Linked DNA regions of Schizosaccharomyces pombe. Changing the gene in region 2 together with the main gene of any one other region gives a genetic interaction. Each region holds a gene or a part of one and is shown on either strand. Other genes may lie near its edges.

Region 1 (18,552 bases), 650 kb from region 2:
ACAATTTCTATGCATTCATTGGCATTATGTACCCATTCATCAACAGCACTCATCACTGCATACGGAAAATTGAATACCTGACCCTATTTCAAGTCAAACAACAAAAAATACATGTGTCTAGTTGGAAGTAACAAACTACAAGGCGACGCAAAATTTCACGTGCTACACCTGTTATTATTAAAAAATATTTACTATTATATAGATTTCTAGCTCCAGTATTGCCAATTTTAGAACCTACAATTCTTTATAACTTTTCAGATTGCTCAGAACAATAACTACAAGTATAGATTTTCTGACACAACAATCCATTCTTCATCGATGACCCACGATGTTCAGGTATTAAATTTTTTTGATATCATTAAACTAAAATACGATTTGTATCGCAAACATGTAAAACAGTCATAACATCAGGATTTTTTAGTCATTAACCAAAAGAGGACATCATTGCTTGTTCAATAATATGCAGCTTTCTAAAGCGAAAATCCTTAAAGAGTCTTGAGATTGATTTCCTTAACCACCATAAATTCTTGAACGCCCAAACGACCGGCTTCCTTGCCAAAACCGCTCTGTTTGATGCCGCCAAAGGAAATAAATGGTTCGTCAACCATTTCGATATTGGCACCTACAAGACCCACCTCTAGTTCTTTGGCAACGTGGATCATTGTGGACAAGTTATTGGTAAAGACGTAACCGGCCAAGCCAACATCACTGTCGTTAGCCCATTCGATCACCTCTTCGGTGTCGTCGAACTTGAAGACAGAGGCGAGTGGGCCGAATGTTTCCTCGCTAGCAACCAACATGTCTTGAGTTACACCGGAGAGCACGGTTGGTTCAAAAAAATAACCTTTGCTTGAGGAAATCTCCTTTCCACCAACAGTGATTTTGGCACCCTTTGAAACAGCATCTTCAATGTGCTTGCTGACCTTTTTGCATCCATCTTGAGAAATCAAAGGGCCAACAGCAGAAGAAGAGTCAAATCCATCTCCTACTTTAATGGTCTTGACTTTTTCGGTAAGCTTGCTGACGAATTCGTCGTAAACATTCTTGTGAACGTAAACTCTGTTAGGGCAGACACAAACTTGACCACAAGAGTTAAACTTGATAGTGCAGAAAGATTCGACAGCCTGATCAATGGGGAAGTCAGGGAATACAATGAAAGGGGCATTACCTCCTAACTCCATTGAAACCTTCTTGATTGTGCTGGCACTTTGTCCCATAAGAATTTTACCGACATTAGTACTACCAGTGAAGGAAACCTTACGAACGATAGGGTTGGTAGTCAGTTCTTTACCATGAGCAGATGCATCAGAAGAAGTGATCACATTTAAGACACCGTCAGGGAAACCGGCCTCTTGCGCCAACCTGACTAAACCTAAGCAAACGTAGGGAGTGCGGAAAGCAGGCAAGAAAATAGCGGTACAACCAGCAGCCAAAGCGGCACCACCTTTACGAGCAATCATGGCGGCGGGGAAGTTCCAAGGAGTAATCAAGGCACTGACACCAACTGGCTGTTTGATGGAGATGAGAAAGTTTTGACTTTGTAAGCTGGAAGGAGCTACATCGCCAAAGGTACGAACGGCTTCAGCAGCATACCATTTAAGATATCCGCTACATGTGGTGACCTCCATCTCAGCTTGGCTCAAAGGCTTGCCGTTTTCTAAGGTAAGCATCTTGACCAAGTCGTCTTTGTTCTCCATAATAAGCTCTGCCCAGCGTTCCAATAACTGACTACGTTGGACATGAGTAAAATTTTTATAAGTTTTGAAGGCCTCGTTAGCGGCACTGATGGCTTTTTTTGTTTCCTCTACTGAGACATCGGCCACTTTACCGATTATTTCACCAGTAGCTGGGTTATCAACCTCAAAAGTTTTGTTGTTAGGAGAAGAAATCCATTTTCCTTGAACAAAAGATTGAGCATGAGACTTATCAAAGCCAAAGAGCTCAGGGCGTTTGAATTGAGGGGCCATTTTTGAAGAGTATTATACAAAAAAGTGGGAAGGAGTAAATGTTAAAAACTATATGAAACGAAGTTATCGATAGAAATGTTATTATTATTTATAATAATAACAAATAATAGCGTAAGCAGCAACAGATCTTTCGTGGAAAAAAGAAGAATGCAGGTTTTTTTAGTGTTTTCAAATTAAGCTGCAGATTTCTTTTTTTTAATGTAGTGTAAACATCGAGAGAAACGATGCATATTTATAATTTTTCAACAAGACATTTAATGATCAAACCATAACGTATGCATCTTGGTTTTCCGTACTAGATTTACGTCTCAACATCATGTTCTTGGTGTATGCAAACATTTCCCCTGGAAAAAAAGAAAGGCGTATTGAATTTGCGTAAATATCGGCAGACTAACTTATAAATCATAGTGTCTGGTTTGTTAGCTTACGGCTCCCGTCTTCTTCAATGATGTATATAGCGAACTTGGTGGAATTGCATTTTTTACATCATATAATTGAGTGCCACCATATGTGAATATGTACCGACTTTACTATACTGAATGGCAGTAATATAAGCTACAGCTACTGTGAATGAGTATGAAAAGAACAGTGGGTAAAATCGCTTCGCTTTTCATATTAAAAAATGTATTTTGTATTAATGCGGTTTCTTTTTTTTTTTTTTTTTTTTTTTTTTTTTTTTTAGCGACATAATTGGAGTGAAATAAATAACTAAAATAGTATTGAAACTTTTATCAAAAAATAAAATTAAACATTTGTGGTATCCGTGCTTAATTTTTCCTTGCTTTTCTAACGATTATTAAAGTTATCAGTATAGTAAGTTACATATTTAATTTAATTTTAATTAATTTATTTACCATCAATTTTTTTCGTATTTTTTCCATATATTTTATTTCATATTTAATTTTAAAAATTCATTTATTCATATGGTGTCCAACTTTTATTTTAAAGTTGACAATTATCATATAGTACCCAAAAAAAAATAAAAAACTCAATTGGTATATGCTGCATGGATCTTATACAGTGCATTCACCGTTTGTTTACATAGTTTTAAAATTTTGTAATCGCAATGTTTCCATTTTTTACTGCTTTACGAATACACAATGGCTTTTTTTTCAGTGCAGCAATGGAAGAAGCATGTCCGATTGATATGGGCACGTAATTTTTGGAAGAATATGAAAGAATCGATAATTTCTTTAAAATTTCTTTATTACTGATCGGCGCTTAAAGTAATACTATACAATTTACCATGCAAATAACATTAATCTGTAGTATCGAATAAAAAACAAGTAAATGATTAAAAATCCCATAACATGAAAATGCTTACAAAATTAACATTGAATAAATCTTTGTAATGTTTTATCACTTTTGAAGAATGAAGATCGACAATATATACTCGTTATTTTTGGTGATATCTTATTTTATCAATTAAAAATTTGACAAAAAAAAATAAAATAAAATTGGACATGCGCAACAATTGAAAAAAGCTCAAACCTGATTTATTTTGCTATTTCTCATCCTGCCATTAAATTTTCATTGTCATACAAAGCTATATCGGCTTTATGTCTGTGAATCTTCTATGCTACATACCTTCTTTTCTTACTTCTGGTTTCTGCTAAGGTTTATTATTTTCTTAAACTCAGACAGACGGCAGTTAAATCATTAAACGAATTTTCATATGTTTGGTGTGCCAAGAAAATTTTCCATGCAACAACAATTCATAAATTTCTTAATTATTTTTTAACTATCACTTAACTGACAAAAGTCGATTTATGTCACACTGAAATCATAATGCGAGACTAACTTGGGTTATTATTGACACATAGGTTAGGTTATTAAGGTGGAAGAAAAATTTACTACTTTTTTTTTCTAGAGATTTTCATGAACCAGACATACAAAAAGATAATATTTTACTAATACAATAGTTTGTTTGCATTACAATTTAGCAACATTCTGCGAATTTTGTAAACATTGATTTAGTATAACGATATGGATTGATGCTTTTAAATGAAACGTAACGATTGCATTAGCACAGCGGCGATTTTTTTATTACGTAGCCCTCTATTCTTGCTCTTCGTTACGATACAGTATTTGGTAAACAAAGCTCTGCAACTCATATGCCGCTGTTTATGGAAAGCGGATTATTGTGATGCCTTACTGGTTTGCCAAATAAGGAAGAAGATAGTTAATATTAACTGTGAGGACGAGGAAACAGCATAATGAATGCTGCAATCCTGCTAGCTCATTCGGTTTATCAGATCAACATAAAGCCAGAGCTGAATCAGTCCAAAATTTATAATACAGTAACGCAACTTGGCATTTGCAGGTCGAATAAAGAAACTTAGGCTTTTAAAACTATCAGCTGGAACATATAACGCAGCACAGCATTACGTTTGCATCCTTTGCGCTCAATCCAGCAACACCAATACCGTTGTGCCTAAATAATTGTTAAAACGAATAGCACGTGCCTATGTTAATAATGCATTAAATTGGAGATTCAAATAATGAAGAATTTCTGAGACATCTCTGCTTCCTTTGTTGGTCGAATTGCTTGATCTTTGTTATGTACCTTACCCTATGTTGAGGATAATTTCTTAACCATTTTCTTACAAAATCAAATGGAACCGATTACTACATGGTTATCTAGCTGAATGAAGGCTTCTTTTTTTGCTAATGAATCAATCAATCAATATCTTTGCAACACTATATTGTTCTCATTGTGACTGATTGATATAAATTTATTGCGAGAAGCCTGGATGCTAAAATTGTTCATTGCATAGACCACGAGGTTGATGGCTCCCTTATTCATTCCGTTAGCCATAATCAAGTACCCACTGAGCCATGTCGAGAACCATTGTCATAGTTGGATGTGGAGTTTTTGGCCTTTCAACTGCAGTTGAATTGGCAAAAAATCATTCCTTTGATAATATCATTGCTATTGATGCCGAACCCGTTCCTTCCAGCATGTCTGCAGCAAACGATATCAACAAGATTGTTCGGCCAGAATATGCAGATCTTAAGTATATGAAATTGGCGTTGGAAGCAATGGAAAAATGGAGAAATGACCCAGAATTGTCCTCTGTTTATTTCGAATGCGGCCGCTTAAGCACCATTTCCAAAGACCCATACAGAGCTCGTTTCGATGAGGTAGCCCAACGAAACTTGAGAAAGCTTTTAGGAGACTCTGCTCTTATTAATCTTTCCAGTTCAGAAGAAATAAGAAAAAAATATCCTTCACTTTTTTCTAATTCACCGCTGCGCTCAGACATGCAAGCTGTCGTAAATGAACACGCTGGTTATGCGAATTCAGCTGCTTCTCTAAAATTACTTGAGTTAAAGGCTAGGGAGCTAGGAGTTGAGTTTGTTTTTGGTAAAGCCGGTAAATTCAAAAAATTTGTGGTCAATCATTCCGAAACTGATATTGATAAAAACGACAATCATGTATCAGTACAAACAGAGGACGGTACTATATATCATGCTGATACTATTTTACTAGCTGTTGGTGCTTATTTGAACGCTTATTTAAATACTTCTCATCGTGTCTGTGCTAAGGGTTTACCGGTCGCGCATATTCAGCTAACCGATGAAGAATTTAAGACTTACAAAAATATGCCTATTATTTTTGATCCAGATTGCGCTTATGCTTTCCCTCCTTATCCTGTGACAAAGCTCATAAAATTGGCCAGCACCGGATATGAATACGTATGTAACGTTGAGACCGACTACGACGAAAACTCAAAAGTTGTTTCCATTCCTCATTCCGGACCATCTAAAAGTAGTCTACCAAAATATGCCATTATTCAAATGCGCCGTTTCCTTGACACCTTTTTGCCTGATCTTGCAGACCGCAGCCTGATAAACACGAAGATGTGTTGGATTTCTGACACCGAAGATGCAAACTTCCTTATTGACAAGGTCCCTCAATTTGATAACGTTTTTGTCGCAAACGGAGATAGCGGACATGCTTTCAAATTTCTTCCCAATATTGGCAGATACATAGCACAACGTATTTTAGGGGATTTATCTGAAGAATGGAAAGATGCATGGCGTTGGAGAGAGGATGATAAAGCTTCAGAACTGAAATGGAGATGTGTTCGCTCTTTGATAGATTACAAGGATGCAGAGTTTACTTACGACAAGTGAGTTTAATTTTTTGTTTTATATCCTATAGTTTTACTCACAGTTTTGTTGCTGCATTTATATATTTAACTATCTGTTTATTATGTTATTATTTTCGATAGATAAACTACAGCGTATTATAAGACAACAAACAAACGTAAATAACTCTTTAAATCTGACCAGTTGACATTTCACTAACCTTATCGCTTTAGCGGACGTAGTTGTTCTGTAATTGTAAGAACTGGCATAAATAAATTTTTAAATACAAAATTGGCGCGTAATGTGACGAAATAAAATAATAAAAAATAGACATTTGCAATAAGCTTTAGAATGGACAATGTTGAAATATAGCATCCCAATCATCCTAGCAGTTGTTAGCTGGAAACACAAACACATAATACATACCCAATTGATATCAAGATTGTTAGCATCAAAAAATTCAAAATTTGTAAGCCTCACATCAGTGGTCGATACGTCGACAGTGCTCAACCCAAGCTTTTCCCAAACTTTTGCCCTTGAAGTTTGTAAAAGTGCCCAGGCTTTTTGATAATGCTCTTTACCAGAACTGCGAGGAAAAAGAGAAAATATTTTGTTTAAAAGAACAACTCGTTCATCATCCAAATAAATGATTTTTTGAGAATTTAGTAAATCGAGCAAAAGCACGATGCAGGGATGAAACGGCGGATATCTCCAAAGATACCATGAATACTTTGAGTATTCTGGATTGCTGCCTAGTTCGTACAGCTGGTTTAAAGCCAGAGTCGCGGACTCCAAAGCACGCGAATGACTGTAGGCGAATTGTGCAGAATTTTTTTTTAAAAGGAACGGAAAATGCAAGAGAATTGGGAATCTGTTTGACAAATAGGAAACTAAAAGTCGAATATGCCGTTCGTGCATAGTATTACTAGTTGGAATATTCACTTCTATCAATTCTTTAAAAAAATTGGAAAGCTCCCTGTCAAGCTCTAATAAACGTGTATAATTAGGAGCTATAATGCCTAGCAAAACTTTCAAACACTTTGAATATGCTCGTGAAACCTTCGTGATAATGTTAACAAAAGTGGCCTCAGAAATAATAACGGAAGAATCTACATTATGAATTTCATCAGGTAAAGCAGAGGGAAGACGTGTATCATAATTTCCCTCAACAATTTGAGGAGGATAACCAATAGTTTCAGAAGTTCTAAGATCCGACAAGACTATATTCGCCCACACACGACGTCTAATCTCGGAAATTACCGGATTAAGTCCATAAAGCGAGCCATCTCTGTGAAGGCCCATGCATAGCGCTACGTGAAGAATCAAGCCGACTAAGGAAGGTGGAGCGCGAATGCGGTCAGAATCAAAGACAACCTAAATTGAGTTAGTTAAACCCATTTCAATATCACAAACCTGACAAAGAACAAGAGCTTGCAAAGCATTAAGATCTGGTTCAAACAGAAAATTAGACGAAGCCAGTGCGTAGCGAAAAGCTTGATGATAATCTACCTGAAGATATCTCTCGTCTTCACCAAGCGCCCATGTCTTTTGCACTTCAACAGGTGTAGCTAGTAATGCACTAGCATAGATTGCGTATAATAAACTAGTAAAAGCTGGTTTTCGCAAGTGCGGTTTTTCCCAAAAATCATTATATCGTACATAAAAAGTTGGTCTGTGTAAAACATTAATGAGCATATGACACCGAAAAAAGAACTGCTCAATTAAAATATCCGATACTTTTTTGGGGGGTAAATAGTCGTATGCAGATTCATTGGGGGATATTCGAAAAAAAAACGGACTAATCAGAGAATCGTTTTCTTCTTGAATATCTTGATCTAAGTTAAGATAATGATAATTCCTTAAATGCCAGAGTACGTGTGAAGAGGACGAGTAGTTAGCATATTGTGATTTTGTATCATCTAATACTGAAAGAGAACCAATGTTTCGCTGTGTCTCAGCATCTGCCGAAGGCGTGGAAGGAAGATTATGAGATTGTTGGTTTTCATAATCAGATTGCGATTTAGTGCCGACCTCATTTAAACGTTTTTCCAGCATGCTAACTCGGGATAGTAACTGATCTATCAATTCGTCAGCTTCGCTACCCCGTTCAAAGCGCTTGTCATAATTAGTTTTCCCAGGATCTATATAAATACATGACTGGATTGTTGATCGCTTTAAGCAATTGGAACAAGGTCTTCCATGATCACATTTAAGTTTTTTTCTTCGACAAGCCAAACACGAATGGATCGCCCTACGTGATGTCTGCCCTGATTTTTTAGAACCAGACTTGGTTGTTTCACTCATATGCTCTTCTTAAACATCAAGTTATATAATATTGTGAAAGATAAAGTACAATTGAATGCTAGATTCTTCTAATTCTTGAATCAATAGACGTCAAAAAAATGATACTTGCGACCAATTGACAGGAGCGAAAAGAAGTTAATTCCGTAATATATAAAAAAGTAGTCTTGGCTTTAAATAGGCAAGAATTATATCTTTAAATCTTATTGCTATACTGATTTTGAACCAAAGACACTTGTGTTTGGATGTTGGCGAAAAGTAAATTCGTAACACCAAACACAAGGCACACTGGACAACTTTTATAAATATCCACTAATTTCAATAGTAAGCAATCTCAACAGCAGACAGCTTTCGGATAACATGCGTTAGATACGTAAAGCACTCAAATAGAAACATATAATTTACACAGGGATTTAATGCATTTACTAACAAATTACCATTCTTAAATATGACTGATTTCTATTTCAAAATTCAATTGCCTGCCTTGCGACAAACTATCCATCAAATTTAGTACTTGCATTTTTTTCATTGATCACAATTTATACCCCGTATGTATAAAATCTTACTAAAAGGCATCTTAATTGTCTGAGTAAGAACTTTGGTTAAGGGTAGACGGTTGAGAGCATGCACTTATTTGAATCACTTTATGGCATTTTCTTTATAATAGTACAACATTGCAGAAGTGAATGACATCTAAAGCTACTGCTACTATGATTTTGCATTTGTCTTACTTTAACATTATCTACCATGCGTTTCCAACGAATCCTATTTTAAAGTGTAAAGTCAGTTAAATGTTAACTGTGTGTACCTTCCTTCCTTCGAACGATCGCATTTATTGTTGACAAACATTACTCAAACTTTCAAATGACTTTTATTCAAAAAATTTTAAAATTCTACCAAATATTTGTAGGACAGAGAAAGAAAAAAAAAATATATATGATTGTAGGTAAATCCTTAATTTAAAGAGGTTAAGTGCGTTCTAGTATCTGTATTTTCAAATAGTAAACATAAGTAACATGTGACCTGTTTAATTTAGCATTAAAATGGAAAAAGTATAGAGCAATTAGGGTGCCTTGTAAATAAAAAAATTGCAATTCAATCTATAATTTTTTTATTAGTATCATTTTGCTTATTTTTTGAGTCCGTACGAAAGTTACGTTTTGCCTTCCCAAATTGCCGCAATGGTAAATTTTCCGCGCACAATTTAATCAAGGCTATTATCACTGAAAAAATCTCAACTGCAAGAATTCTTTTTCCTTCGGCCAACACTTGCTACGCAAATTGAATTGCCATTTGAGGCAGATTTTTTTGTTTAAATTCGAAGAAAAAATCCCAATATTAAGTCATGTCTGAGAAACAAACTATCAAAGCCCTTCCTGCACACAATCCTACTCAGGTGAAAAAACTTGGTCCCGTTAGTGGATTTTTGTCAGGTGGTCTTGCAGCTTGTGGTGCTGTAACACTGACAAATCCTTTCGAAGTTATTAAAACGCGTTTTCAACTTCAAGGTCAATTGACAAAATTGGATCCTTCTAAGCGAATTTACAAAAGCGTCGGTCAGGCATTTTCTCTAATCGCTAGACATGAAGGTATAAGAGGTCTTCAACGAGGCCTTGGTACTGCTTATGTTTATCAAATCTGCCTCAATGGCTGTCGTCTCGGGTTTTACGAACCGATTCGACGTACTCTGAATACGTGGTTCCTTGATGATCCCAAGGGTAATAAATTAGCTATTAACGTTGCAAGTGGCGCCGGTTCAGGTTTATGTGGTGCCTTGTTTGGCTCTCCCTTTTTCTTGGTTAAGACTCGCATGCAGTCGTATTCTCCTAAATTTCCCGTTGGCCAGCAGTATGGTTACAAGCATATATTTAATGCATTCAGTCGTATTATTAAGGAAAATGGTGTTAAGGGTTTGTTTGTTGGTGCTGATGCTGCCATTCTCCGTACTGTCTCTGGTTCCTCTGTTCAGCTTCCTATCTATAATTGGGCTAAACGCATGATTGAGCATTACAATCTATTGGAAGAGGGTATGATCAAACACTTAACTGCTAGTGCTGTTTCTGGATTTGGTGTATGCTGCACCATGCAAATTTTCGATACTGTTATGACTCGTATGTACAACCAAAAGAACAAGGAGCTTTATAAAAATCCGATTGATTGCATCCTTAAAACAATCCGCTCTGAAGGATTCTTTGCCTTATATAAGGGTTTTGGTGCTCACTTGGCCAGAATCGCTCCTCACACAATTTTCTGTCTTACCTTCGTGGAGCAAACCAATAAACTCTTTTTGAAATTCCAAAAGGATTAAGTTGTTTTTTCAAACGCACGTTTCTTTATTTATAAATAATTTTGGTACTAAACCATAAAAACCCCCAGTGGCTTTGGTGTATATCAAGTGAACAGTTAAATTGTAAAGAAATGATGTTTGTATCTAAGAACGATTTTTATTTACATTCGTTGTCTCGTTACTTATTTCCACTCTACTTTCATTTAAAAGTCGATTTTTCTTTTCAAGCTGTTTTTGATCAATCGGCATGTTTTTGTCTTTTGTAATATATATCCGTCAGTTATCTCAATATATGTACGTATTTGTTTTTGGATTTCAGGCATCTGGCTGCGTTTGTATATCAACTTACCTTTTATTTAGTTATTAATATACTTATTTTCTCTATAATTAAAGATTGGAAACATTACCGCTTTGTGTAGTCACAATGGATAAATTTCTTCATTTTGCGTCGTTTTTATTTGAAATCTTTACATTTCGCCAACAGTTATATGTTTTTTAGATAAATCATGTTAGTTTAATAAAATATTTTCTGAACTTCTTATCGTAGTATTCGTGTTCACTAATTTGCTCGTTCCTGCTGACTCTAATAAACGGATCGGACACCTCTATTCAGTACAACATAATAAAATCTGAATATATCCGTTACATATAAAAATAATCTGTTTGTTTTTAAGGATCTATTAAAGGTTTAGTAAAAAAAAACCGCCTTACGGTTTAAACTGCTGTTTGGTAAATTCAGTTAAAAAAAAGAAAAAAAATGACAAGTAAGTTAAAATACCTTGCTACTCATCTGCTAATTTTTTAGTTCGTTCATTGAATTTGTTTATCATAGACAAAAAGCATCAACATAAATCTAGCTTGAGCAGTTTTCAAAACTGTAAGTTGGGTATTGACGCAAGTTTTTACTTGACTCAAATTATTCATTCCTTTACCCCACAGGAACTTCAAAGTTTGGCAGTAAATGGTGAATCCGAATATCTACAACACAGAATTTCGGAATTCCTTGAGCAGTTGAGAACTGAGAATATCACACCCATTTTTGTTTTCAATGGTATACCTCTTACCTTTGAAGCCAGCAGCCAGCTGGAAGTGCCGGGAAAGCAAAAAAGTCATAGTGCATTGACAGATTTCGAAGCTTTTGATCCTTATGATGCAAATATTCAGCGTAATATGTACCGCATGGACGCAAGTGGTCCTGCGAATTACGGCGAAAGTAAACCAACACTTTTGTACACCAATCAGCGAGATCATTTAGATCGTCTTTGCGACCAGGTAAAGTTTTACTTAGATCAATGTAATGTGGAGTATTTTGTCGCCCCGTATCTGGCTATGGCTCAATTAGCATATTTTCTAAACGGCACATCTTCACCTTACATCGATGCCATCTATGGTTCCACGGATCTGCTTCTTTTTGGTGTTAAAAAATTTATTACTTCTATGAACACATCTTCTAACGTTAAAATCTCATCTGACCCTTCATCCCCATCAACTCAAACAACTATCAATTCGGCCGCTAAAAGTTCATTCACATGGTTAGATGGAAATGCCCTTCTTCAAGACACGAACGGCCTTTCATGGCAGCAGTTCATCGATTCCTGTTTATTGTGTGGTACTGCTATTTCTCCTACATTTCCTCAGATTGAGGGTACTTTTCTAATTAAAAGCGCAATGGAGCTTGTTCGTATGTTTGGTTCTGCGTATCGTGCAGTCCTTCATTTTGCTGAAATCTTTCCCCAGCCCATTTTTCAAGATTATCTTCAACAGTACAAAAGGGCTGTTTGTTTCTCTAAGTTTGGAATTGTGATGGATACAAAAGGTCTCACTTTACCACCAGTTCCCACAGAATCTGTTCCTAACGACATAAATATATATTTTGGCACCCGTCTTCCCAACGAGATTTATTTTTACATTTCTCGCGGTCTTATTCCTTGCAAAATGATAGGTGCTTTAGTATCTGGATGTTTTAGTGATCCTGTTTCCATACTTGAACAACATATTGGTGACAAAGCATCACAAGGAACATTTTCTGGTGCTAATTCTGGTTTAAATCCTGGTCGCGACAATGCAGCAGCTGTAGCGGCTGTGGATCAACGGCGATTTGTTGACGATTTAGAAGAAATATGGTCGCAGGGGCTAAATTTATTGACCCAACCGCTTAACAGATTTTACCAAGCCAGAGATATTGTTTCCCTTCATGGCCATAATCAGCAAGCTTCTTTGAAGGTAATGCACAGCTATGATCCTCCTTTGTATAATGATACGAGAGCATGGATGATATACGAAGAAAACTTACCGAGTTATTTATCTAGTAATTTTTTAAAGGAAGAACCCGTTGTATTATTTGATCTACTACGTGCTTTGAACGATCCGGTATTTGTAAAGAAAAGCTTTTGCACTGAAGGTAATATTGGCATAAAAAACCCTCCCAAGCATCCTCTGTCTTCTACTGCGGAAATCGTCTTAAGTTCTTGCTACAGATTTTTGCAAATTAGATCTTTCGTTTTAACATCTCATCAATTAACATCTTGGGGATGCCCCTTGTTAAAAGCGTTGGAAAATTGTCACTTACAGAACCAAACTTCCGTTGTTGTTTTATTCGAGCTTCTTAGACTAAGACAATTAAAAGAGCCCTCTTTACTTTCCTCCTCAAGTGCAAGCATCGCCGATTTATCCATAACTTCTGCCACAGAGTTCTTGGCAAAGGTTGCAACATTTCTACCAATAAAACAGAGACCTGAAGTTAGTAAAATTTCTATAGTTGATGAGAATTTATTACAGTTTTATCAGCTACAAACTAGCTTCGGATCCAACTTGAAGGAACTCATGGCCATGATTCTTGCCTCGGTCATCTTGAACAGAAACGTCGACAAAAGCAAAATAGATCCTAAACTTATCCGAAAAACGTACGTGTTTTTTTCTCTTTCTCCTTTTTTGTTTATATTTAAAGTTTCTAACCAATTTAGCTTACCTTTTCAAAACATAAATGGTAGCCTTGTCTCAGGTTTTGTTGTCAAGCGCTTTTTTGAAATCATTTCAAAAGAGCAAGAAGCCAGTTCTCAACAGGAAAACATCCAGAAGGCTTATGAAATAATAGAAAAGGAATTCCCAACCATTGGATCTGCGGAAAACCATATTGCCCAGTTTTTGGAATTCTGGAAAACTTTTATGGAAGGGGTTAAGGAAGCAGAAAATACAAGTGCCATTGGCAAGCTCGTTTTAAGTAAACTCTTCCTTACTAACCAATGGATATTTTCTCTTGGCTTATGAAGACCAGAACTAGTAGTTTATGAATAGAAATAAATTAGTGAGAGAAGTATCCTTCTTTTAGCGGGAGCTTTTAACACATTCGGCACAGTCATAATGCACATTTACATGAATTACTTTCCCTCATACTGTCGAAGCATTTTCAACATGCTATACACTCATGTGATTACACTTGATTATTGTTGAGATATTATTTCGAACAAGTAAAGTATTGTTAATATTAATATTCAACTACATTGTTTCTTCCCGAAAAAAGGAAGGGAAAGAAAAATAGAGAAGCACAGCTTTGAATGAAAACCCAATGATGTTTAAACTTTTTTATAGATATAGTTTAATTTGTTCTAAAGGATACTATATTTATTTTTAGCAATACACTTACCTGTCAAAAAATAACTTATACCGTTGTTTTTACACTATAGTATGGGAATAATTTTTAACTTATTTGATAAGTTCAAGCGGATTTTTTAGATTTTAGTTTATGTGTACTGGCTCACTCACAAAAAACCGAATTCGCATCAGAAACATAATTTTACCTAATCAATTTCACGAATTAAAAACCTTGTGCTTACAGAAAGACTTGCTTAGTTTAACCACTTACAAGCTGGATAGTATAATTTTGTTTTAAGATATTTACTGTATAGATGCTGTTTACGACAACTTGCTAGCTTTGAGAATCTCCAATTCTCACACTAACATCTAATAATATTTGTCGATAGTTAACAAAATTCTGACAATGTCAGTTTTTAAATATAAACGGTAGTAGTTGAAGTAACTGACAGTTAATCAAAATCTCTGTAACTTATTGTTTACATTGCATATTGCGAGACTTGACACACTATTTAGAAAGTCTTAAGCAAGCGTAAGCCATTACTGTGGAGTTCATTAAGCTTAACTTTAATGAACTGCTATTAGTGTAGTCTCATTTTGTAAGGCGTAGCACAATGTCCCGTGTGGTTCAGCAAGCTACCATCAAATAATAGTTTGATTTTCCATTTGGTGTGAATCTAGCAACAACCAACATTATTTGTTCAGATGCACTTATGAAGTCTAGTGGTATCGCAGGCGATTCCAATGGATTTGAAACAAATTTTCTAAATGAAACGACTAATCGAGAAGAAGATGGTGCATTTAATTGGAACGCTGCAGATGATGGCACTAACGAACGAAGAGAGGATATTCATGTACGATTTCAGGATAGCGCTCTTCCATTAGGAATTGATGAAAATGAGCTTGATGAAATTGATATAAATGGGGACAGCAAAAAATTGGATTCTGTTGAAGTTGACGAATCACACGATGTTAATTCGCCATCAGATAGCAGACTGAAATCATCTTTCAAGTCGGTATTAGAACTGACAGCTAATTCTATGGTTTCAGTGTTAACTCCATCTACCAAAACTGAGCAGACCTCGAAAGGAAAGGGAAAAAAGAAGAAAGCACATGTTTCCTTCCTAGAGGGACCTGTGGAAGAAATCCCATTAGATGATATTGAGCCTACTTCTCCTCGTGAGGCATCACCTGTGTTCAATGGGCGTCCTCCAATTCCTCCGGAATTTTTAAAGTCGCGGCATAAAGAGTTTACAATACCAAATCCTTTGCAGTTCATTTCCAATTTCTTATCCAACTTGTTTTCGCGTGATACACGGTATTTGAAGTCGAGTCATGGTCGAATAATTATCATAAACCCTTACGATGACTCCTCCCAAATTGATGAGCGTACAGGAAAGCCCTATATGCAAAACAGCATTGTTTCGTCTCGGTACAACAAATACAATTTTGTCCCTTTACAGATCATTGCTCAATTTTCAAAAACTGCCAACTGTTATTTTTTGCTGATTGCTATTATGCAAATGATTCCAGGTTGGTCAACCACCGGTACTTACACTACAATCATCCCTCTACTTATATTTATTTCAATTGCAATCCTTCGTGAAGGGTTTGATAATTATCGGCGATATCGCCAAGACCGCGTAGAAAATAGAATTCAAACTCAAGTTCTTCGTCACGTTGATGTAGATCCGCCTATTGTTGAAGAGCACTCATCTTTTTTTCGTCGTCGGCGGTGGAGAAGAAGTAGATCTCAAGAATCTGCTTCAAGGAGTACTATTCGATCAACTGATGAAAGAGAACCTGAAAGAACCTCAGAAGATCCACCTCAACTTCCTCCCTCTCCCTCTTCCCCCTCTTCTCCGGCGTTAAGTGTCAAACCTAACATTGACCCGCAACCCCCCTTGTATAACTCTACTTTAACTACTACTCGCTCCATACCTGCAAATAAGCCTACTTTTTTTTGGGCTAGCTGTGATCGGAAAGATGTTCGAGTTGGTGATATTATTCGACTGACAAGTGATCAAACTCTTCCAGCAGACGTAATAGCTTTGTCGAGTCCCAATCCTAATGGCGCTATTTACATCGAAACAGCTGCACTTGATGGTGAAACATCCTTGAAAACTAGACTAGTAAACTCCACGCTCCGCTCTCTTTGCAAAGACATTAATGATTTAATACGATTGAGTGGTACGTGTACTGTTGAAGACCCGAATGGTGATCTTTACAATTTTAATGGAAGTATGAAACTTGACTCAATACAAGGAGAAATACCATTGTCTAATAACGATGTTCTTTACAGAGGCTCGAATTTGCGAAATACTTCAGAATTGTTCGCTTTGGTTATTTTTACTGGCGAGGAATCCAAAATTCGCATGAATGCTGTTCGAAACGTTAGTGTAAAGGCACCATCAATGCAAAAGGTCACTAATAGAATCGTAATTTTCATTTTTGCATTGGTTGTTAGCATGGCTATATATTGTACTGCTGCCTATTTTGTTTGGCAAAAAAAAGTGGAAAGGAAGCTGTGGTATCTAACCAACAGTAAACTTTCATTTGTTCCTATCCTTGTTTCTTTTATCATTCTTTACAATACAATGGTTCCAATTTCCCTTTACGTTTCTATGGAGATTATACGTGTTTTTCAAACATTTTTAGTGCAAAGTGACATTGATTTGTACTATCCAGAAAACGATACTCGATGTGAAGTTCGAAGTTCCTCAATCCTTGAAGAGTTAGGTCAGGTTACACATGTTTTCTCCGATAAAACTGGTACCTTAACCGATAATATTATGCTTTTTCGTAATCTATCTGTTGGCGGATTTGCATGGCAGCATGTCGGCGCGGAAAATCCTAAGCTTGTATCCACATCACAAAAGAGTGATGACCTTGATGGTGAAGCCAAACCTCCGCAGCTTGAGAACATTCAGGGTACCACTATTCAATTGCTTCAATATGTACATGACAATCCTCATACAACTTTTTCAAAACGGGTACGAATTTTTCTTTTAAATTTGGCGATTTGTCATACTTGCCTTCCTTCTTTTGACGAAGAAAATCAAATTTATAAATACCAATCCATTTCACCAGATGAGTTGGCTCTTGTGCATGCAGCTCAACAGCTAGGTTACATTGTTATTGATAGAGACATTGACAGCTTGACAATCCGATTGCATTATCCATTGGACCCACACTCTCACCCGATTGCCAAAACATACCGAATACTGAACATTATCGAATTTACGAGCAAACGGAAATGTATGTCTGTTATCGTACGCATGCCTAACGGAAGGATATGTTTGTTTTGTAAAGGAGCAGATTCAGCGATCATAAAGCGACTTCGTCTTTCCAACCTCGCCAAACGGAAGGACAAATCAGTAACCAAAGCTGAACAGGCTCGTAAAAGCATTGAAATAGACAAGGCGATTATTCGGAATAGCCAGAGCACTTCGAGGCCAAGTTTAACGGCTTCAAGACCTAGTTTGTCTCGGCGCAGAAATGATTATATTAACAACGTCACTTCTTGGCTCGATGAAAGGCGTGAGAAAATGGGTGTAGTTCGTCCCCGTGCTAGCACCAGTATTCTTGAAACCCGGCGTCGACCAGCTGTTGGACGTCATTCATTAGCAGGCGGTGAACGTCTGATGGAAGATAAAAAGTATCTATCAAAACAAGAAGAAGCTGAGGGATCAATATATGAATCCTTAAACCACAATGATGCCAAACTTTTTGAAAACACTTTCGAGCATGTTCATGCATTTGCAACTGATGGTCTACGAACCCTTATGTATGCCCATCGTTTCATTGACGAAAGCGAGTATCAGTCTTGGAAGTTGGTGAATGATGCGGCGTTAAACAGTCTATCCAACAGGCAACAACTTTTAGATGAAGCTGCAGACCTTATTGAAAAAGATTTAGAATTTGCGGGAGCTACGGCAATTGAAGATAAATTGCAAGTTGGTGTTCCAGAATCAATCAATTCACTTTTCCGAGCGGGCATCAAATTCTGGATGCTAACTGGTGATAAAAAGGAAACAGCAATCAATATTGGTCATTCTTGTGGCGTAATAAAAGAATATTCAACTGTTGTTGTCATGGGCTCTCTGGATGGAGTCGAAGGAAGTGATGAAACTGTCAGTGGTGGTCAAAGGCTGTCATTAGATCGACCTCCTACTAATGATCCAGCTTCTTTGATGATTCATCAGCTTATATCTTGCATGAATGCTATTCACAGTAACTCCTTAGCTCATCTGGTTATTGTGATAGATGGCAGTACTCTTGCCGATATAGAGAATGATCCTGAACTGTTTT
Region 2 (10,793 bases):
CCGTGGTTTTATGCTTCCTACTTTTAATATGGACATTGAACGCATCTTCTCCTATTACAGTGAATGGATCACCCCGCTTGTCTAAACATTCCTCGCAAACGAACTTCTTTTTCTGAGATTGGCGACCGTTCATTATGGAGAGATAATCTCTGGCTTTTTCGAAAGCGTGCTGATCATCAGCAGATGGAGCAATGGCATCGCCATTATAAAAAAAATATTGAAATACTCTACAAGCCTTTTCAACTTGCTCTTCCCAATTGTTCAAGTCCGTAGTGTTTGTGGTGGAAAATAGAATTGAAGAAGGGGATAAATCTTGTTGAGCCAAACACATCGGGAGGAATCGACTTTGGATCCATTTCTTCTGAGATTTTGCATACTGTCTAGTAGAAACCTTCATTCGTTCTAAACAATCATTAAAGACTATATCCGAAGGCGCTTCAAACCATGGCATGAATTCTTTAAATCCAATACATTGCCAAATCCCACGGGTGAAATCAGGAGAAAATTTTTCACTTTCAGCAAGACTCTTCATGCTTTTTATTTCATCAACCAATCCATGGCTTAGCATTTTGTCAACACGTTTATCAAGTCGCGGCATTAAGACTAAAGAATCTGCGAACGCCCAAAATATTAGAGATTTGTATCGAAGTTTAGAGCCACTTGACTTCATTTTTTGCTCAGAATAAATTTCAGATGGCGGTCGACCGGTGTGAAAATATATCTCTAGGCTTCTTCGAATTTTACGAGTATCCCGAGGATGCCATTGCTCAGCCATCACGGGATCTATCTTTTTTAAATACGAAAGCATAGCAGATGGATCATCATCCAAGATATGAGAGTCCGGATGGGGTGGCTTACTAGGTGATGAATCGTTCGTCAATTTATCAATAGCCGACAAAGTAGTATCTTCAAACAAAAGGGACTGCAAATAATAATGAGTCCCTCCAACCACAATAGGTATCTTTCCTTGACTGTGAATCTCGTCAATTACGCGGGAGGCATCTCGTTCAAACTCGGGAACACTGTATTCTTTGTCAAAGTTCAAGAAGGACATCAAGCGATGATGAACATTCTCTTGCTCTTCCACAGTAATTTTATTGGTTATAGTATCAAATCCCCGATAAATTTGCATCGAGTCAGCATTAATGACTTGGCTTCCAAACCGTTTCGCCAGCTGAACTGCTAAATCCGACTTACCAGCTCCTGTAGTACCGATGACAACGCAAAGGGGCTTTAACATTTTATAAGATATAGATTTTTACCTTATCTTCAATAGATTACACACCGAATCAAGCTTAGACTAACAAATCCATTTCCCAAATTTTCCCAAGCAAGCCTGGCTCTTTACCAACTGATTTTACCTTACATTTTGTTTTGGTTCACTATCCCCGTTCCTTTATTGCGGCGTCAACTTCGGTATATGCTTTAACGATGTTTTAATTACTGTAAACAAGTTATTACATTTTTACAGCGTTCGTATTTGTTCGTTATTAACATGTAAACACTACTTGTCGTTTCCCATCGCCTGAAAATGTCAACTATTAATGTTGAACATACCTATCCGGCTGTAAGTAGCTTGATAGCAGACTTAAAGTCAAGAAAGGTACAAGGCCCCTTTGCAGTTGCCGTTGAAACGGCGCTGGTAATGAGACAAGTGATTTCTCAAACTCGCTGGTCAACAGTTGATCAATTAATTGATACAGTCCGTGCTGTTGGATCTACTCTTGTCAAGGCTCAACCTACTGGTATGTATTTTGAATCATATTCTTTTATTGTGTTACATGCTAAACCGTGAAGAATTTTCTTGTGGAAATATTATTAGAAGAATTTTACGCTTAATCCGCGAAGAATATCAAGAATTATTAAAGACTGCTGATGAAAATGAGAAGTTAATCGTTTCTTCATCGAACTCTTCTAGCCCTTCTCAAAAAAGAGACATTCCCTCTAACGAAAAATTGGTTCAAAGTCACGAACCTGTTTCAGTTCAGATGTACTCTTCTATGCTTAATTTATTAGGTCGTCCTACTCTTGAGTCTCCCACACATAGTAAAACCGTCGGTGACAGTAGGGTCACCGGTGGCATGGATATGCGCGCTGTGATCATATCTGGCATCCAAGATGTAATCGATGAGTTGGACAAGATTAATACTGATATTGAAGTTCAATCAATGGACCATTTGCATTCAAAGTATGGTGTCATGCTAAACATCTTATCAGTTAGCTAACCTTTTTAGTGAAATTATTTTAACTCAGGGTTGCTCAAAAACTGTTGAAGCTTTTCTCCGTTTTGCCGCAAAGAAACGCAAATTTTCAGTGATTGTTGCAGAAGGATTTCCCAATAACCAAAAAGGTTCTCATGCCATGGCAAAGCGATTAGCTCAGGCTGGTATTGATACAACTGTTATATCTGATGCTACGATTTTTGCAATCATGTCACGCGTGAATAAAGTTATACTTGGTACGCATGCAATCTTGGGTAACGGAGGATTGGTAACCTATAGTGGAGCCCAATTAGTTGCTCAGGCTGCCAGGCACCATGCTACTCCCGTAGTGGTGTGTTCGGGTATTTATAAGCTTAGCCCTGTTTACCCTTATGACTTAGAATCCATTATCCAACTGTCTTCACCTGATAAAATTATGTCCTTTAATGAAGGTGATCTAATAAGCCGCGCTGAAATTTTAAACCCTTACTATGATTACATCCCACCAGACCTAGTAGATCTGTTTATTACCAATTTGGGTGGCTATCCTCCTTCCTACCTTTATCGTATTATGAATGATACTTATGATGCAAGCGATACAATTCTTTAAAGAGTTTGCATTCTATTTTCTCTTGGAAAATTGATTACCTATTAAATCAAGTTTATCAAATTTCTTTACACGTGTTTAGGTAAATATTAAAATTTTGGAATAAATAACATGGGTTACATTAGATTGAATTTTTTTAACTGTGGGTTTCTGTTGCAAGTAATACAGGCAATTAACTCAGCAAAATAAAACTTTGAAATTAAAGTAAATGGACTATGAATTTTAACGAGTTTCCTTTCATTGTCTAATGATTTGAAATATGCAGTAATTAAAAAAACTAGGGCCACTAATATACAAACCAATTTGATTACTTTTCCCTTCGTAAACTGCTTTGCACTTCCATCTCAATGTCTTTGGGACTTGCTTGTCCTCGAAGCTCTCTCATCGTAAGGCCAACAAACCACTTTATAAGGGAAGTTTTACCATTTTTCAACTCTTCAAATTGTTTTGAATGTTTACTAAGAACACTTTCTACACAAGCTTTTATTTTCTCGGAATCGCCAATGGTACCAAAATTTTTTTCTTGGATGAGAGTAGATATAGGTTTCGATGAAGGTGATTTTATCAATGAACGAAGGAAGAGTTTAGCAGATGCAGCTGTAAGTTTCTTCTTGGAAACAAGAAGTACAATGTCAGCCAATTGCAAAGGAGGAACGATATTGATGTTAGGGGAAGGGTCAATTTCACGAACTTTTCCTACTAGTTCCACAGTGATCCAGTATGGAAGGGTACGTAAAGCATCCTCTTTCAAAGATTGATTTACATGGCTTATAGAATCGATATGGTGGTACGCATTTCTGTAGTAGTGATAGTATTCCTTCACACTTAATAATGTACGGGCCTCTTTATGACTAATGGCATGAGAACCCGTTGTAAGCTTTTGGAAAAGTTCGTCAGGCAGAGCAGGTAATGATTTTAAGACAGAATTCACATAACTCCGAGAAAGTATGATTGGGGGGATATCGGTTTCAGGAAGAAATAGATAATCGTCGGAGGTTGTCTTATTACGAAGAGGAAATGTTTTACCAGTGATATCGTCGAATCCCCTCGTTTCTGAGGGCCAAGAAACACCCATATTTGCCAAAGAGACTTGTCGGTCCACTTCATGGCGAATTGAATTTACTACATTTCGTACATTTGACAAATTTTTTAATTCAACACGAGCCAACTGAGTACCTAATTGGGGGAAATGGGATATGGATTTCTCTACTGATATCACTCCGTTGTTTTTAAAATGAAGTTCATTTAGATTTTCTGAAGAGATGACTGGCGCGATTGAGACATTAACATCACATCTCATCCCTCCATTTTCCATCAACGCCTCAGATATTCCAGCGAAGCGAACGATGGATTGCAATTTAAACAAGAATGCAGAAACAGTATTGACATCATGAAAGCAAGGTTTAGTGACGATTTCCAATAACGGAGTTCCTGCTCGATTATAATCCAGTAAGATTCGCGATGGATTTTTAGCAGACGTCGATTTTGCAGTATCCTAAATATAAGTTTGTTAAAATACTTTTCAAATCCAGTATATGGAAAGTTGTTTTGACAATGTTTCTTACCTGTTCTAGTTGAATATGTTGTATGGGGATTTGAGTATCTGGAACATTGTCCAAACCAGCCGACAATGGTATAAATCCATTTCTTCCTATAGGAATTTCTTTCTGCGTAATCTGATATCCCGCAGGTAAGTCTGGATAAAAGTAATGCTTTCTGTCGAATTTGCAAACATTCGCTACCTCACAATTCAGTGCCAATGCTCCTTTCACTGCAAACTTTAACGCTTCAGGATTCAAAATCTATAAAAAAATAAAAAGTTAATAAGCTGTGATAATTGAAACGCATTCGATTCTAAAAAAACTCACCGGCATAGAGCCTGGTAGTGACACATCGAAATACGCAACACAAGTATTAGGCTGTGCAAGAGGGTTAACCTTTGCTGGAGAAAACAGCTTTTTCACTGTTGCAAGTTGTAAATGTATTTCCAATCCAATGGAAGCGGCCCATCTTCCAAAAGACATTCTAAATAGCTTCCATTGAAGTGTAGGATATCAGTATTTGGCTAGTATCCGTCGCGGTAGTCGAGCTCCTCGATAGTAACATATAACGAAAAGCTATAACGATAATATTCACTTACGAAATTCTTTGTTTAGACGGTATTTTTATTTACATCGAAAAAGTGATGTACTAATGTAATATTATTTATTGACTGTATATATATGCTCATTAGAAAAGGAAACTTTGATGCAAAAGCTGTGGACGTGGTAGTGAGACCATTTTAAGATACTTTAACGTTTTTCAACTTTCACTGTATTGAAAATTGAAACGAGCAAATTGGAATTTTTACAAAAACATTCCAATCACAACCGTCTCTTATATTTTTTTTTAAATTACATGCAATTGATTCAAACATGAAAGTTACAATGCTCCCTTTGCAATTGAATGACGAAATCAACTCTGCGAGTTTTGGACCAGCCTCCTCATCAACCAGCCACTCCTCCACCATCTTTTGCGTACACCATCGCGTCAGATATATATATGTACCAAGACACTGCTTACTCCGTTCATTGACTTACGCTACAACAAATTTTACCAAGTTTTCGAAATTTGTTTACTACTTAGCTATTACTTTACATACTTCACTTCTTACTAAGCTCATTTACTGCCACGCCGACTTATACGCACTACAATCAATCAAATACAAAAGACTACGAATAAATAATGGAATGTTGGATTCACCGAAAAGAGAATAAATATTAAAAGGAGGAATTCCCCCTTTATGTTTAAAGGTTTCCTAGTAGCCGACGGCTTCCAGGGGTTTAAAAGTCATAAAAAAATCATAAGACTGTTGGTCAAAGCTGGATTAGACGTACCAAACTTTTTGTATGTTGGTCACATATCCAAACCAAAAGAAGACAGGCCAATAGATAGAATCGTGAACGAGTATGATTTTTGATGAAATAAATCCATGGTAAGGCGAGTCTAATTATTAAGGCTCCAACCTAGCCACATATACAAACGAGCTCAATCAACTGAGTCAATCATCTACATGATGTGTACATGTGCAACTAAGGGAGTTTGCCTTGATAGAGACGCTTATCCGGACTCGTAAACAAGAGGACCAGCAACAACGTGCTCGTTGATGGCAGTGATGTTGAAGGGAGTGACGGGGATAGCTTCGTCAACGAGAACCAAGAAGTTGGTACCGTTAATGACTTGCTGGGTAGAGTCGTTGTAAAGGTGAGAGCTGGGTTGGTAGGTAACACCGCTGTTGTTGCCGGTGATGTTTAAGGGAGCGTAAGTAACGTTCAATTGGGAAATCCAAGCAGCATAACGAGGAGTTCCGGCAGAGGTGGAAGTGATGTAGGAGCTGTTAGGACCGACAGCCATACCGGGAGCATCCCAAGCCAATTCGACGCTTTGTCCGGGAAGAGAGAGAGGGAAGGTACGGTTGGTGGAGACAGCGGCGGGATACATGTAGGTACCGTTAGGGTACTGAGGGAAAGAGCCGTTGGTGAAATTAGTGTGAACAGGAGGGCTAACCAAATGTAAGGCAGGGAAGTTTTGCCAAACCAACTTTTCGTTTTCGGCAGGGCAGCCAACAATGAAAGGGGCAATCAAGGACCAAGCAAAGGATTGAGGAATGCCAGTTTCAAACCAGACGGGGTAAGGGAAGAGACCTTGTAATTGACGGAGAGACATTTGTTGACGAGCTTCAGTGGTGATGGATTGAAGCAAAAGAGCAGCTGCTGCGCGAGAGTCAAGGTGGGGAAGGAAACCATAGACACCGGATTCACTCCACTTAGTAAGGGTTTGAGCAAAGTCAATGAAGGAGCCCACAGTGTCAAAGTTGTACTGGTAAGAGCAAGCCTTGGGGGCGTTGGGGCCAAGCATGTTGGTGACAAGCTCGATGTGGCCGATTTCTTGTTGGGCCATGAAGCGAATCAAGTGACGGTACTCGGCGTCAATGCCGGCCTCGTCAAACTCGGCATCAGAGAATTTAGTGAGACCGTAGTTGAAGAGGTCGTACTCGATGTACTCGTGGTATAGAGCGAGAGACAAGGACTGGTAGTCAAAGTCACTGAAAGGGTGATAAGTAGGGCTGCTATCATTAGTATCGATGCCGCCAGCAGGAGTAAAGTTAGCAGGCATGATAGATTGATTAAAGGAACCAGTAGCAGTGTAGTTGTATTCGTAAGCGGCACCGCCAATACCAGCAAAGTTAACTGGATCGGCCTTAGCACCGATGATACCGCGCGCCAAGAGAGCGCCGGCCATTAAAGAAGCAGTAAGAGCTTGAACCATTGTATAGATTTATAGATATACAAAAAAAGAGGCGATAGTGTTTTATTAAGGTAAGGTAGAATCAACTAGGTTTTCCACACGCACCGACACGAAAAGAAATTAAAAATATAAAAAGAAGCGACGAACGAGGTCTTTTTCAAAATAGCAATCCAACCAAAAAAAACTACAACTAACAAACGTGGTAGTAGTAGTAGTATTAGGAGTAGAGTAGCAGGGAAGCACAGAGAGAGAGAGAGAGAGAGGTAGGCTTGATATTTCACAAGACAAGCTCGTTTATTTTTTCTTACTTACTTAAACAAGGGCAAAACAAAGTCACACAATTTGCGACGGCTAAAGTAAGGCTAGTGAATGCGATCTATATATACCACGAGAATAAAGACGGAAGTACCATGTCATAGGCTCAAGCTTGGAACGTATATCGGTCTCAGCTTGACGTGTGACTTGGTACTATATCATCGCTTCCAACCCTTACGTTTTCCCAAGCATAGGGATTTACAAGCCGAGAGCGCCATGCATGCGAAATTCGCACGATGATGTTGCGATGAAGAAAATGACGAGGAGCCAGAGTATTCGAGCAAAGAAAAATCAGTGGCATTCATCGCATGATGATTTTGACGAAAATAAAATCGAAAGAAATATGCCATGCGCACGCACGCACATTTATTTATCAAACCTCTGCATGTCGACGCGACGAAAAGTCTAGCTGGCCATCGCCGATGCCGATGTTAATAGAATGTCGCATCCATTTCATCATCGCACGTGAAGGAGCAAGGCGAAGAAAGCACCGTAAGAAAGATAGCGAGAAGCTCATCGTAAAGTGAAAGAAGGGAAAAAAGAATAGCGGGGCGTAAAAGAAGGATACGCCGATGCGTTTGATCTACGGTAAAAAAAAACGTGAAGCAAACGTGAGCCGAGTGGAGGAGGAGCATGGAGGGGGGAGGGGAGGGAAGGGAGCAAGTTAGAGGTAGAGTAGAGTAGAGTAGAGGAGCAGTACCCGGGACATGGGGAAGATTTGAGAGATAGAAAAAAGACAGAGGGAGCACCTTTTGAGTAAAAAGTTAAATGAGACTTTGAGGGAAAAGAATAGGAAAAAGATGCTGTGGACAAAAAAAAATTAAATAAAAGAAAAAGAGAAGGATGATTTTTAATGAAATAGAATGTAATGTAATACAAAAGTTTGGTAGGATAGTAATTGAAATGATTTAAAAAAAATTCAAAAAAAAAAAAAACCAAACCTCCGGAGAAAATAAAAAACAGTTTAGTTAGCACATTGTAGCTAACCATATCTATCTATTCGATTGGTGATTGATTCTATAATCGATTCAGTCAAACAATTAATTTACTTAAAGTATTTGATTTTTTGAATTAGTTGATAACTTGATTATTTGATTTGATTAGACTAGACTGTTTGATATTTTTTTTTTGAATTTTTGACTGAATCGACTTTATTAACTCATTCAAACTTTATTGATTTAATCGTTCTGTCGACCATTGATTGTTTGCATGATTGTATAAAGGCGCGGCCTTTTTCCCCGGCATAGCTAGTCTTATCGCAACCATCCATCGACTCGTCAATAAGCTTGACCATCTTTTCGTCAGACTTACGGAACGATCAAGCATTGCATTGTATTGCATTTGCGGGAAGTATGTTACAGCTGCCGTGTTTCGGGGCGGGGGCAGAAAAATTCAAATAAAAAATAATATAAAATAATAGAAAATAAATAAATAAATAAATTAATAAAAAAAAAATCCAATAAATTAGAATAAGTATATAGGAAATAAAACTTGAAAAAAAAGAAAAGAAAAATAAGCAAAAGCATAGAGAAAAAAAAAAGGCGTACTGTAATGAAACATAAAAATTCTAAAAGAAACTCCAATGTAATAAAATAAAATCAATTCAATAAATTTTAATAGATTTCCTTCTCATCCATTTCTTCCTCGTAACCCAAACACACCGTATTACTATGCCCTTCACTATTGCTCATCTCTGTTCACCTCTTATTCAACTCTTGCATATACTTAAACTTAACACCTTCTCGCCCTGCTTCTCCTTCTCCTTCTACCTCTCCTGAAAATTTTCATTCCTCTCTGGTTGGTCCCCTCTGCTGGGTTTCTCTTTGCCGTTTACCCTATTCCAGCTACAGGGAAGCTTTGCGCAAAGCGTTGGGAAGGTGAATCTTCTCGGCAAACTCGTTTTTTCTTGGTGGAAGTACCACCCTGTCCTTCACTGCATTACGTTATTGTGGTCTCGTTCTGGAAAAGTATAAATAGATATATATGTGCGGGAAGGAGAGACGTGGGGAGGGAAAACAAGGTAAAAAAAAAAGAAAAATATAATAATAATAATTAATAATAATAAATAAAATCTGTAAATTTTTTTATGATATTTTGTAACTAATTGAAGGAAAAAAAGAGGAATAGGAATAGGAATAAAGTGAACCTTCTAAAAAATTCCTTTTTTACTATCATCATCATCATCCTATTTTGTCTTGCCTTGAAGAAATGCCATCATGCTCTCGTACAGATTAATCAGATGAAGCCCAACATTAAGATATGATAGATAGTCAACTACCACACATAGCGTCATTATGAGCAAGTTTCAAAGAAATCGCCAACATACAGATCTACACATACAAAATAGCTTTTAGCACACCGATTTGACGAGTTCCCCCGACTCGATAGGTAATGTAAGAAAGGGGACATTCTTTTTAGTACCCATCAATTCAGTAGTCTTTGTTAACTTTTGGTTCTGGTGCATATTTTATTTTATTTTATTTAAAAAATTTAGAATTTATTTTTTAAATGCATCCCTTTTTTTTTTTTTTCTTGTATTTTTTACAAAGCCTTTTTTCCATAAATCTTCCTATATTATTTTGCCGCCGATTTCGCCTCGTTCAACTCTGTCTTACAAAGTCTGTGATTTCATAGATAAGAGAAATCATTGATTTTTAAACGGAATCACTTACGTAGAAATGCGTTGATCGACGATGAGAATTGGCAATGTGCAAGTAACTTGACATACAAAACGACGAATGGAATGGACGGATGTGTCACATTCATATGACCAAGAATCATGCATATGCATTCTTTTTCTTTATCAAAAAACCTTCGTAAGCAAGCTACATTTCGACGTAATCCTTGCCTTGCCTTACCTTGCCAATGAATTCACATGCAGTTTGATTTTGATGTAGAAATGCTTTCATAAAGAAATATTAAAGTGAAATGCCTTTATTTGCAAACGTAAATAGGTACTATTTGAAAATCAATGATTAAAAAAACAAAATAAAATAAAATAATAATGACAATAACAATATTCAACTTGATTTAATTTTATCTAAAAAAAAAAAAAATTCAACACTTCTTTTACTATTATCATGCCATCAAACCTCTGAGTACCAAATACTTATAGTATGGCATACCTTTCAACCCATTTTTTATGTCCCACAGCAGTAAACAACTTTCATTTATTATTCCTACGATTTTTGAATTTACGTTTTGTCTTTTGTACCATCAAGTCTGAAAATAGCAACCCTATAAAGTGTAAATCATGTAAACTTGCGTCAAAGTTTTAATAGTGAAAGAGGTTCTATTCCTCCTCATACGAATTGTTCTATTACCTTTTTTTTTCAAAAAAAATAAAATATAATAGAAATACTACCGTTAACAAACATCTTTTC

Evidence for each region.
Region 1: of rds1 (region 2) and toe2, changing one suppresses a phenotype caused by changing the other (phenotypic suppression), as found in Schizosaccharomyces pombe (one study listed by BioGRID).

Annotation. Positions count from the first base shown.
Region 1 is NC_003424.3:1,011,731-1,030,282, reverse strand, and holds toe2 (protein toe2), read right to left. Parts: upstream 8,614-18,552; 5' UTR 8,367-8,613; coding exon 7,476-8,366; exon of another isoform or gene 7,437-7,475; coding exon 6,489-7,436; intron 6,448-6,488; coding exon 6,409-6,447; 3' UTR 6,148-6,408; downstream 1-6,147. Other genes in the region: histone acetyltransferase Hat1, read right to left, coding at 1-53; ssd2 (succinate-semialdehyde dehydrogenase), read right to left, coding at 486-1,967; fap2 (L-saccharopine oxidase), read left to right, coding at 4,806-6,107; oac1 (anion transporter), read left to right, coding at 9,709-10,671; post-transcriptional RNA stability regulator Mkt1, read left to right, coding at 11,408-11,414, 11,456-13,553, 13,614-13,917; dnf1 (P-type ATPase), read left to right, coding at 14,955-18,552.
Region 2 is NC_003424.3:1,664,394-1,675,186, reverse strand, and holds rds1 (protein rds1), read right to left. Parts: upstream 7,449-10,793; 5' UTR 7,117-7,448; coding exon 5,908-7,116; 3' UTR 5,565-5,907; downstream 1-5,564. Other genes in the region: tit1 (tRNA isopentenyltransferase), read right to left, coding at 1-1,240; tif222 (translation initiation factor eIF2B beta subunit), read left to right, coding at 1,532-1,745, 1,798-2,188, 2,235-2,811; glutamyl-tRNA amidotransferase beta subunit Gta2, read right to left, coding at 3,116-4,303, 4,374-4,610, 4,677-4,832; SPOM_SPAC343.20 (uncharacterized protein), read left to right, coding at 5,223-5,564; SPOM_SPAC343.21 (uncharacterized protein), read right to left, coding at 7,924-8,400. UniProt on the Schizosaccharomyces pombe protein: May have a function in stress-related responses of the cell.